2 linked regions of the Oreochromis niloticus genome follow. The protein of the gene in region 1 interacts with the protein of each later gene in a biochemical or structural test. Links are inferred from orthologs where the notes say so. Each region holds a gene or a part of one and is shown in the gene's direction. Other genes may lie near its edges.

What was found.
Region 2: the proteins of mmp2 (region 1) and metalloproteinase inhibitor 4 form a complex in vitro, tested with the Homo sapiens proteins (2 studies listed by BioGRID). The link is inferred for Oreochromis niloticus from reciprocal best matches to the Homo sapiens genes MMP2 and TIMP4.

The regions. Positions count from the first base shown.
Region 1 is NC_031965.2:30,275,478-30,281,216, reverse strand, and holds the start of mmp2 (72 kDa type IV collagenase), read left to right. Parts: upstream 1-2,196; 5' UTR 2,197-2,348; coding exon 2,349-2,501; intron 2,502-2,697; coding exon 2,698-2,924; intron 2,925-3,689; coding exon 3,690-3,838; intron 3,839-4,496; coding exon 4,497-4,625; intron 4,626-5,393; coding exon 5,394-5,567; intron 5,568-5,739.
Region 2 is NC_031970.2:18,948,163-18,953,901, forward strand, and holds the start of metalloproteinase inhibitor 4, read left to right. Parts: upstream 1-2,244; 5' UTR 2,245-2,417; exon of another isoform or gene 2,418-2,575; 5' UTR 2,576-2,750; coding exon 2,751-2,889; intron 2,890-5,739. Other genes in the region: syn2b (synapsin-2b), read right to left, coding at 208-282, 702-844, 1,722-1,784. UniProt on the Homo sapiens protein: Complexes with metalloproteinases (such as collagenases) and irreversibly inactivates them by binding to their catalytic zinc cofactor. Known to act on MMP-1, MMP-2, MMP-3, MMP-7 and MMP-9.

The DNA.
Region 1 (5,739 bases):
CTTGCAATCAACTGCAACAAGATACCCACTTTAAATAAAAACAACTGCATTTCATCAAAACACACATGTGCGGTGCTTAAATCTAGAAAAGGCTTAAGCATCCAGCAGAGAATGAGGGAGAGAGAAAAACAATTTACATGCAAATCAAACCTTATCATCTCCATCTCTTTATGCCACTTTTGCCGACAAAATTGCATTCATATGCACAAAGGCATTCAATTACTGTAGCTGTGGCTCAACTTTTCACATACCAGCATTTTCTATTTGGAGAGGCAGGCCCATGTACATTTAATAGGTAGCCATTCTGTTCCCCGGCTCTGTGAGAGATCACTGCCAGTGTGTCAGTTAGAGGAGATGGCAGCATGTATCAGTGCATGAAATAAAGCTCCTGCTCCAAAGTGACAGGTCCTGGATATTGTTGGCAAATGGATGTTAAATTCACTCTGCAACCACCAACAGCAGCCCCGGCTATGAAAAATTAACTGTACTCTGGCTAAAGGGAAGGGAAATTGCTTTGCTAGATATACCACAAAATCCTGTTTGTGAGCTATCCATCTGTCAGATCTCTTTGCAAAAAAAGTCCTTCAGCTCTCTCTATTAAAGAGTCTGCTCTCATATGCTGTTCAGAGTAATCCAGTATGAGAGCGGAAACAAAGAGATGTCAAAGAGAGTTAGAGTAAATCCTAAATCTGTGCTGTAGATTACAAATCAGGAAAGAACACTGGCTCCAAGGGCCACAAAACAGACCAGGTACTTGTTATATGTGAGCCACTAGAGGGCACCAATCACCACTGTAACTATTCAATAGTTAAAGTAGGTTAGTTCACTTAGTGTAAATTATAGTACATTACAGTGCTTTGGGAAGCGAAGCGTTATACACCAAACTACATAAGAAAGATTCTATACGATACATTTTCCACTGCACAAAAATATTTTGTAAACCTTTTATATACATATATATATGATATTACAAATCTTATGACCAGGCACAGTCCAAGAATAGTATATTTACAAGGCGTTCTATTATATATATCTACATCTTTCATTTGCAGATTGCTGTCGTTAAGTAAAATGTCTGATGAGGTTTAAAGTCAACTCATGGTAAACAGCAATATATTTATTTATCATATTTTACTGTGTGTTTATTTTCTATAACATGTATACTAGGATAAGTAAGCGTTAGCGAACATCGCCCCCCACGCGAACACACACACACACACACACACACTCATCCTTTGTTTTTGTTTTTTTCCTTATTAGTTTTCATGGGTAGAATACATATATGGTCTCTTTTTAGCTTCCAAATATTGAGGCCAGTTTCGCATCCTACCAGCAGATGTCAATCTACCACTTTCAATAACTTCTGGCCTTTCTGCAATCGGGTGTCGCTGTTTTTCTCTCCTGGCAAGGTAATATATTGTGTGGTGACGCTCAGCAGCTTTGTACGGAAGCGTAGAGCTGCTTTGCGTCAGTGAATTCCAAATTAATCCGGTATAATGATCCCCCCCGCTCCCTCTACCCACCGCAACGCGAGTGGTTATTTAGAAATTCATGAATAGGGATAGAAAAGAAAATCGGTCGCTGGAAGTCAGAAAGTTAGAAGGGGGGTGTGGTGGTGCTCTCAGACAGCAGTGAGCAGTGCAAAAAAGTACCAAAAAAGTCGAGCTAGAGGCGGATAAAATATATGAGTACCGCCCACTTCTACCAATTATAAAGTTATTGGCTGAATTGGTTGACAGAACGTAATTTAGTAAACAAATAGGTGATTTTAAGTTTGGAAAGAAAAATGATAAAGATCATCCCCAAACAAACAAAAAAGTCAAACAATGTGCTGAAACCTCTTGTCATGCAGGTTATAGTTTATCTTGGAATCTGCACATATTAATTTAAGAAATACACACTTAAAAAGCGGAAGGTTTTCATTGGTTTAATTGGTCAGCTTGGGCGAGAGCCCAAAATTGGTTAATTTCTCCACTAGATGATTATCCTACTCTTTAAAAAAAAAAAGATAAGGAAACAATAAAAAAAGAACATTTTTATTTATTTGTAGACGTTTTCTGGTAAAAGCGGGTGACTAAGAACTGTAGTCGATGAATCATTCAGCATTTGATTTGCTGGTTCGTCCCCATTTCTTTCCCAACCTGGAGACTGCGCAGAAGGCGTCGGGGGAAAAGTGCATGTGCAAGCAGAACTAAGAAAGTTTGCAGACCCGAGGTGCAGGATGTCCCGTTAAGGAGAAAAAAAAAATCCTGCTGAGGAGCAGAAGCAACACAAGCTGACGGGCTGAAAGGACTGCAACTCAGAGCGAACGGCACTTACCGCACAAGATATACTGTTAACCCGAGAAAATGGGCTTTCCGACGATATTCAGTTGTCGTCGGAGTCTTCTCAAATTGTTTTTGCTTCAGTTCATCGCGTTCCAAACAGTAAATGCTCGTCCTTCTCCTATTATCAGGTTTCCCGGAGACGATACCCCCAGAACAGACAAAGAAGTTGCTTTGGTAAGTTTCTTTTTCTTTTTTTCCTTCCTCAGAATATGTCTAAGTAGGTCAGGCAGCAATGAACTGTTTTTACCCCTGGAGTACCAGAAATGAACAGGAGTAGTTTTCACATTATTTATTTCTTATTGTTCTAATTTTATATAAAGATACCCTAACAACGCTAACCTATTATTTTATGTTTTTATCCAAACTTTAGCATTATCTAAACAAGTTTTATGGATGCCCACAAGACAGATGTAATCTTATGGTTCTCAAGGATACCCTGAAGAAAATGCAAAAGTTTTTTTCTCTGCAAGAAACTGGAGAGATTGATTCCAAAACTGTAGAGATCATGAAAAAACCCCGCTGCGGTGTCCCAGATGTGGCCAATTATAACTTCTTCCACAGAAAACCCAAATGGCAGAACAAGGACGTCACCTACAGGTCAGAGAATTAACAATAACACACATGATAATGGGAGTGAGTGCCAATCCACTGTGACTCCAAATTAGTTCTCAAACAATTGCGGAGGTTTTAATCAGCTTGGCCTGCAAAATGGTTATGGCATTACCACTGGGTGTGATCTAATAGTTTTTGAGTTACTTGGCATGCTGCACTTTAGGGAACCATTTACTGCACAGCACTTTTTTAAAAATCTGTTGCTTTAACAATTGCCCATAAATCAAAGTTGTTGATACTGAGAAATATTTGCCCCTGTCTGACCCTCTAAAACCGGCCCCACCCTCTCCACAACCTCCATTCCACACTACCCCCATCCCCACAGTCTGAAGTGCTTGCATCTTTATGTCTCGCTAACACCAACATTCCTACACAGTATGTGTCAGGTCCTTTGTTTTCATTCTGTTTGAGGTTTACTATGATGTGGATGTAGTTTATTTATATCAGCGGTTTTGCGTGTTCTGATCATTCCAGCCTCTCTGCCTGTGTGTTTATAAGAAAGACTGGAAGCCAAAGACAATAACAACTATGAGATCTTAGACTGTTTTCAGGAAAAGGACTGTGTAGACAGGCATACAAATGGGTTTGCGGCTGAACATTGTTTCAGGAGGCGCTTTTACAGATTACTCATATTGGCCTCTTTATTTTCCATGATGTTCAGTAAAGAAAGGAGAATTTGCAACACTCACAGATTGTCCTGATTGGACAATCTAAATCATGCTTGTTTGTCTTGTTCTACTCAATTTGTAGAATCCTGGGTTACACTCCCGATCTGGATGAAGAAGTCATAAATGATGCTTTCTTCAGGGCCTTCAAAGTATGGAGTGATGTCACGCCACTCACTTTCACCCGCATCATGGATGGAGAAGCTGACATCATGATTAATTTTGGCCGCAATGGTATACTATGTGTATAAACATCACGCTATGTAGATATTCCATTTGTTATTTGAAAACTATTGTACATCTGTACTCAGGTGGGTTTACGAGGATCACAATTAATAAAGAAATGTATCAGTTTGTTTTATAGTAATACGCATATTGTAAGCCCTCAAAATACTCCTTTTATTGGATCTGCCACATCTTTGTAATAGAATAAAGAGATTGTGCTGCAGGATAAAATTCTAAGAATGTTCCTATAATAATTAGCACAAGTCAATATTTAAACAGAAGCTCACGAGTTCTAGACTAATGCTGAAGGAGCAAAAACATACATCTTTTTAAAGTAACATTCTTTTCAAAGTGACTCTACACCCCAGCCATCCTGTATTTTAGGAATTCTCTAAAGGCAGTGGGGATTATGGTATTAACCCAAGTCATTCCAAACATTCCAGCTAAAATAACCACTTGATATTTACCCACATTCTGTCTGGTCACAGCTGACTGTATTCAGAAAGAATCTAGTAATTACAGGGGAACGCAACCGAAAATCGGCCGCTGAAGAAGACATGGAATTGTTGCTTCAGAAACAGAAATCTTTGCATACATGAACAAATGTCACATCATGTCTTAAGTAGTCAGTATACCTGTTTTGATTGGTTAATGATGTCATCAATAGAGCATGGAGATGGTTACCCCTTTGATGGCAAGGATGGTCTCCTGGCTCATGCCTTTGCTCCAGGCCCAGGAATTGGTGGAGACTCTCACTTTGATGATGATGAGCAGTGGACACTTGGAGAGGGGCAAGGTAATGAAAGAATGCTAGTTACAAAAAGTGCATGCAGCAAAACCACCAGTGTCGATTTCTTCATTTATTTAGTTCTTCATTTTTTGCTTAGACAAGTTCATTTAAAATTTTGTCTGGTGAGAATTTGACATTGTAGAAACTAATATAACTTTCAGATACTCTTTTCCAAGCATCTTTTTCTGGCACCTGACATCATTTCAAACTACAGACATCTGGAAGCTAAATTTAAAAAAATCTCTATTGCACACATTTGTATTCGCATCCATTGACCCAGATAGTTTTACTCCCAAATACTTCCCCTTTTTTAACATCCTTATGTCTGGATATTTAATTTGTGTGAAAATAATCTATAAACCTACTTTCCATTTCTCTTGGTGCTAGTTTCAAACAGATGAACAGATGAGGATCTCTTGGATGAACTTTTATTTTCTCAATATGTGTTTGTTGTTCATACTGTTACATACAAATCATTTGTACCCTGCATTATACAGTTTTGTTGGACATTTTTCAAAGCCTACTTTGAAACTGCTTTCCAAATTCTAGACAACAACATTTGCTTTAACTTCCAGGAGAAGCTTGCTATGTTATTGGTTAGCTTGCTTATTACAAAAATTACCTTCTAAACATGTGTGAAATTAATGCTACAAAGTTTCATAGTAAATTGAGAAAGCATCATATGAAATCAAGCACCATAGAGTGAATATTCATATAGCTTCACCTCTTTCTATACATAAGTATGTATCTATGTATGCATTCTTTGTTTTACAGTGGTGAAGGCAAAATTTGGCAATGCTGATGGCGAGTTTTGTAAATTCCCTTTCCTGTTCATGGGCACTGAGTACAACAGCTGCACACCTCAGGGTCGTGATGACGGTTTCCTATGGTGTTCCACCACTTACAACTTTGACGAAGATGGCAAATATGGCTTCTGCCCTCATGAATGTAAGCTTACCCAGTGGGTCCCTTTATTGTTAAAACATATACTGTATGTTTGACATGCAGCTGCGATGTCTGTTTGCACGTTTTGCTTTTGAAACTTTTGTGGCCCCACATGACCTTAGATGGAGTGATATGCCCTACTTGGATCTTATTGAACCAGACAAAACATTTAATT
Region 2 (5,739 bases), on another chromosome or scaffold:
TTGACTTACTATACCTGTGCTCTCAATACTGTGCTGAAATGCATGCTTCACCCATGAGCAGATGATGTGAAAACAGTTGTGGTACAAAATGTCAACTGCTTTCAGCTGAATTAATCTGAGTACACTGACTAACTGTGATAAAACACAAGAGAGATGTGTGTGACATCAGGGCAGCCTGAGCATCACTGATGTGGAAGCGGTGCTCACTTGTCAGTCATGGCTACTTGTTCCAACATGGCAGATCCAGTGTTGCTTTTCCAATTACCAGAGATAGATGTTCGCCTGGAAAAGGAGAGGAAATTGTGCATTAAATTATTATGTTAAAGCCTTATTACAGAGTCAGCCCCTCAGTATAGATATTATAAATGCAGGCAATTAAAGGCAGAGAGAAGGAGGCATCCTTGCAGCAGGAGGTTTGTGGCTTCAGCTACTAACTGCAGTCAGGCAGAGAGCACAGCTGTAGGCTAACTGTCTCAATGGCAGCTTCATAACCATATGTTAGCATATGCTCTTTGTTTTTTTCTAAACTTAAGTATTTTGTAAACTAAAGGCACATGAGACACGGAGATGCGGTATGATAAACTTCAAGATTTATATTTCTGCCTGCTAAAATGCTGGTACATGAGCGCGCACGCACACACACACACACACACAATATATCATCCCTAAATCCAAATGACGCACAAGGACAGCACACTTACATGTAGGCTTTGTAGTCCGTGCCAATTTTCTGGACCCTGATGTCGTACTTGGCGTCTACAAATGGCTCTGTAGTACAGTAAGTCTGAGTGATGGCCACCACACTTGCAATGTCCTGGAAGTCGCTCACATTGTCCACCTTAACCTACATTGGAGTAAAACATATAAATACTTAATTTATTTATTCAAATAAAGAAAGACTCTCAAAATGCAGCCAGTCTTACAATTTGTCACGCAAATGCCATCAATGCACATTTCAACCCCTGCTGCTAAATAGAAAAAGTGCAGGTTAAAGCGCTTCTCCATCGGCTTTACTTTTAAGACCTGGAGGCTTAGACTATTTAGAACATTTTCAAGTATGAGTGGTTGTTGAGCTCCTGTAACTCAGTTGTAATACAAAAATAATACCTTCTTGTGTCACAATAATGTCCAATCTGACCGGATAAGACGTTTGCTTTCTCACATAAAGCTTCTCCATATAATGTGCAGGAAAGTTCGGGGCTGTAGTGCATGTGTGAAAATGGCTTATCGAACTGAGCAGTTCAGGGGAATGATGTGTGGTGGATCGATGAGGAGCGGCAGAAACGCTCCACTCTGATTTCAGCCAGAAAATATTAACACAGTTGTCAATCAATAACAGCACAATGTTAGGACAAAAGGGAAGAGAGAATAAAAACAATGAACTGATAGGAGGAAAGGGATAAAGAAAGACATCTAAGATGGAAGCAGAGGATGGGAGAAGGCTATTAAGTGGTCGTGTATGCCAGCAAAAGCACTAAAAAGTACAATAAATGTGATTCTAGATGTAGTGGTGCTTTATGATTACCATTTAACCATCTAAGCTAACTACTATAATAGCCACATGATTTGTCCTCCATTCACAGAGCCAAAACTATTTCCTGGCTGTAATATTCGATCCCCACATATCTTTGAATGGTAGCTAAAGTGTAAGTAAAGCAGATGTGGTTAAATAGTTAATCTAACTGTATATATGCCAGTTGATAAATAAAGAAATCAATTACCTTTCCCATTCCAGAGTGAGCATGTCCAATCTTCACCACCACTGGGAAGCTTGGTGTTGTAATCTGCAAAGAAACAGTATAACTGATGGATAAATAATGATGAAGAAGCATAATGACAACTTATGTTAGTTATAATAACACACTGGAAAATCCTGCAGTGAAAAGTAAGAGGCCCCTTTAGCAGTGGTCGTTGTTAGTAAAGCAGTAAAACTGCTGCAATTAACGAAAACTCATATCAAAGTCAGTAAAATTCATCCTCAAATAATGCCAATAAACATCTTATGAAAGTCACAGGAACACTGTGCAAATATAATACAAAAATTTGTCTTTATTTCAGTAAAATCCTAACATGTGATGCTCATGGTGGTGCTAGAGGACAAGTCAGGGAATCACCAAAATCATCGTGTATGTACACAAATCCACTGCAGCTCTGTAAACAAAATCCAAAAACCAAACCTAATCTCCCAAGTGGATGTGATTACATGAAACATGAAACTATGACTAAGTAAATGAGACCTATGCCAGCCTATGGGAGGAGAGTAGGGACATCAAAAGAGGGCAGAAGAAGAGCCAAAGGATGGTAGTTTTTCTTCTTGCGTTAGAGGAGGCTGTCCCTAAATTGTTGAGCACATAAGAGGCTCCCTGTGTGCGACCCTCTCAGCATTCAAGACCAGAGTGTGAGGGGATCCAACTATTGTAAGTTCCTCTGCGTATTGTCTACAGAGAGGGAGAGAGGAGAAGAGAAAAGAGAGCAGTGGCAGCAGCAGCAACAGTAGCAGCAGCCTTCCCTTCCCTTCACTGCAGCTTGAATTCATAGGTTTACTTTAAACTTATGAAAACATTTCTATCCACAGCTGCCTTTCGGCTCAGCAGAGCTCATCTTACCACTTCGACCCCACCGTCTTATCTATCACCCTGCCCTCTTGCTGACTGCCCACCCGACTTGCTTCCAGGGGAACTTAACAGGATCACAAGAGGTTGCCGAGCTTTCATCAAGTGGCGGAGCGGTCAGAGGTAGCCAGAGTCATCATGGCCGTGTCCCAGGAGCGGAGTGTGTGTCTGGGGCTTTGGGTGCTCATTTTGCTTGGTGCAGGCTTGGAGGAAGTTGTGGAGGGATGCAGCTGCCACCCAGCACACCCACAACAGCTCTTTTGCAGTGCTGAGATTGGTAAGTTATTGAATGTAGAATAACCAAGTTTATGTGTGTGAAAATAGGTGCATGCTTTTTTATTTATTCTAATCTGGACAATGTCCTTACATCTTGACTAACCAACTTATTATTTGGATTACTGATCAGATTAATTAGATGCTTTCAGGGGGAAAAATCAATCCACAGTGCAAAATTAGTTTTACAATCAATAGAGGTTCATGGCTAAGCTACTGTGGCCTTTTTGATTCTTATGATTATTATTCATAGAAAACATGAGTTATCTGAACATAATTTCAAGGTTGATTTTTATAGCCGTATTTAAATAAGCTGATTTGGATGCAGTTTTTCTCTTAACATGTTCTTTTTTTGTGTGCTATCTGTTTTCACAAATTAGCGCCTTCCTGTTGTCACTCACATAAAAACAAGTCCTAAAAAAAAGAAAGAAAAAAAAAGTCCTGGCCTACTTTCTGTCCGTCCGTCTGTCTGTGTGCCTGTCTCTCTGTCCGACGCCCCCGTCATCCAGTTCTTTCTTGTCTAAGCACAAGCCAAAACCAACACTCTGCTCTGACTTTGAGTACTTGGCTCCAGAGTGTGGAAAGCTGGAGTATGTGCTTTGGTCAAAGGTTACACTCCAGCAGAGGAGAGAGGGAGACAGAGAGAGAGAGAAGAGGAAATTGCTTTTATTTTAGTCATGTTTTCTAGTTGGGCTGCATATCCCTTTAGGTTTCGAGGGTCAACTTCTTTAAAGTGCTTTGAAAACACAGGCCGGGTTAAATGAAAGGCAATACCTGTATTCAAAATCTCCAGGTGAACAGCCAATTTAGATCTTGGTTATCTCAATACAAGGTTTTTAGGTTTTAAGTGTGGATGTTTGGCTCTTTGAGCTTTCTTCAAAGCCTGCAACTATAAAGGAAAACTACTAGAGGACCTGAACTAACCAGAATAACATCTCAAGCTGGAATGTTCTGGTTTTCAGCTGCATGGCACTGTGCCCTATTTTTTAATCATTGGTTATAGAGAGCAGGGTTCTGACTGCTAAGTTGTCACACATTTACTTGCTTGTGCAGGTATGCTTATTCAGTAAGCCATAGAATGTAAACAGAAGATGGACATCAGCCACTGATTAGCACAGTCACACTGAGACACCTTGAACTGAGCATTATTGCTGTTGCGATCTTTATATTTTGAAACTGGACTTGTTGAGCATGGTGCAGATCTGACAGAGCAACTGAAGGACACCAATTACTCACATAGTAGAGACATGTCAGGCATAATGTAGGCCTTTTATTAAAAAAACAAAAAAACTCCTGTTGTAGTCAATTAGACTTGAAACTATCCAGCAAAACCTTTGAAAAATAGTTCTAAGATGAAAACTGTGACAAAACCTCACCATCTGCAGGGTGTTTAAACTGGACTCTGTAGAAAGGGGCAGTTTGTTCACAAGAATGTTTTTACGTTATCCTTTAACTGATTTTAACTGAAATAAACAAAAATCTACTGAGAGAAAATTACACAGTTTTAGATCAATATACAATTCAGTGAAACATTATTTGATTGCTTTGGGGGTTTTTTTGGTTGGTTTTTTTTTTTGCATATTTTTGGCATTTAAATGTTTTAGATAATCAAACAAATTTTAATACACACAAACATAACCCAAATAATTACAAAATCTAGGTTTTACATGGTGATTTTGTTTATTGTGGGGAAAATTGCTATCCAAGCTATCAAAGCCTGGACTTAAATCAGATTGAGATGCTTTGGCATGACCTTTAACAGTGATGGCTGAATTAAATTAGTTCTGCAAGGAAGAGTGGGCCAAAATATTTCCACAGTGATGTGAAAGATTGCCATCATTGTCAGTTATCACAAACACTTTGATGGCACAATCTTGCTATTAGGTTTAGGGGGCAATTACTTTTTTCAGACAGAGTCAGGTAGCTTAGAATAGCTTCCCACTTGAAATGATCATTTAAAAACTGTATTTTGTATTTACTTGGGTTCACTTTGTCTAATATTAAGACAATGATCCATTTAAGTTTGACAATTTAAAAAAAAAAGGGAAAAAATCAGGAAAGAGGAAAGTACTTTTTCACAGCACTGCACCTCATGAGGGGAGCTTAGCTTTGATCTGGACACTTGTTTGACAAAAACATTGGGGCAGAGGTCAAGGGTCATTTTTCCATAGGCTTCTATAGAAAAACAAGTTACTTTTGGCTGCTACCTTATTCACAAGGGGTCACCGCAGTGCCACGTGTTTTTTTGTTTTTTTAAAGGCTGATGCCCTTTTTGACTCAGTACCAAAGGGATTTTTGTCTCCTCCAGGAATTTTTCACTTAACTACACTGTGGAGCCACCCAGGTAAAACTCCAACAGTCTCCCCCTGCTGGTAGTTACATCGATTTTTAACATACAGTGAATAATCTAAACATGGGTCAGAACAGAAACAAAACAAAATTGATCAATACAAATTCTAGATATAGAGCGGTGAAAAAAATGGTAAATGGCATATGCCCCCAAAGAGATCCGCACCTTGATACCATAGCACCAGAGCTACATTTTAAAGTCATGTAATATTTAGTGGCACTGAGAATAGGTGTACAATGTAAACAGTAAGTAAAAATAAATGATAAAAATGAGACCAGATGAGACTCCAACTCAACACACACTTATTGCATGAACTCTTACAAAGGTTGTTGCACATGAACAACCTTATACATAAGTTGTGCATAAATTCAGAAGAATTACTAAAGATAATTCCAAAATCTTTTGAACTGTGGAAGTTTTTAGTTCCAAAAGTATGTGCCTGTCTCTTAATGGATATGGACGGTGGGCCTTTTTCAGATAGGATACAATTTTCTGGACTGATGC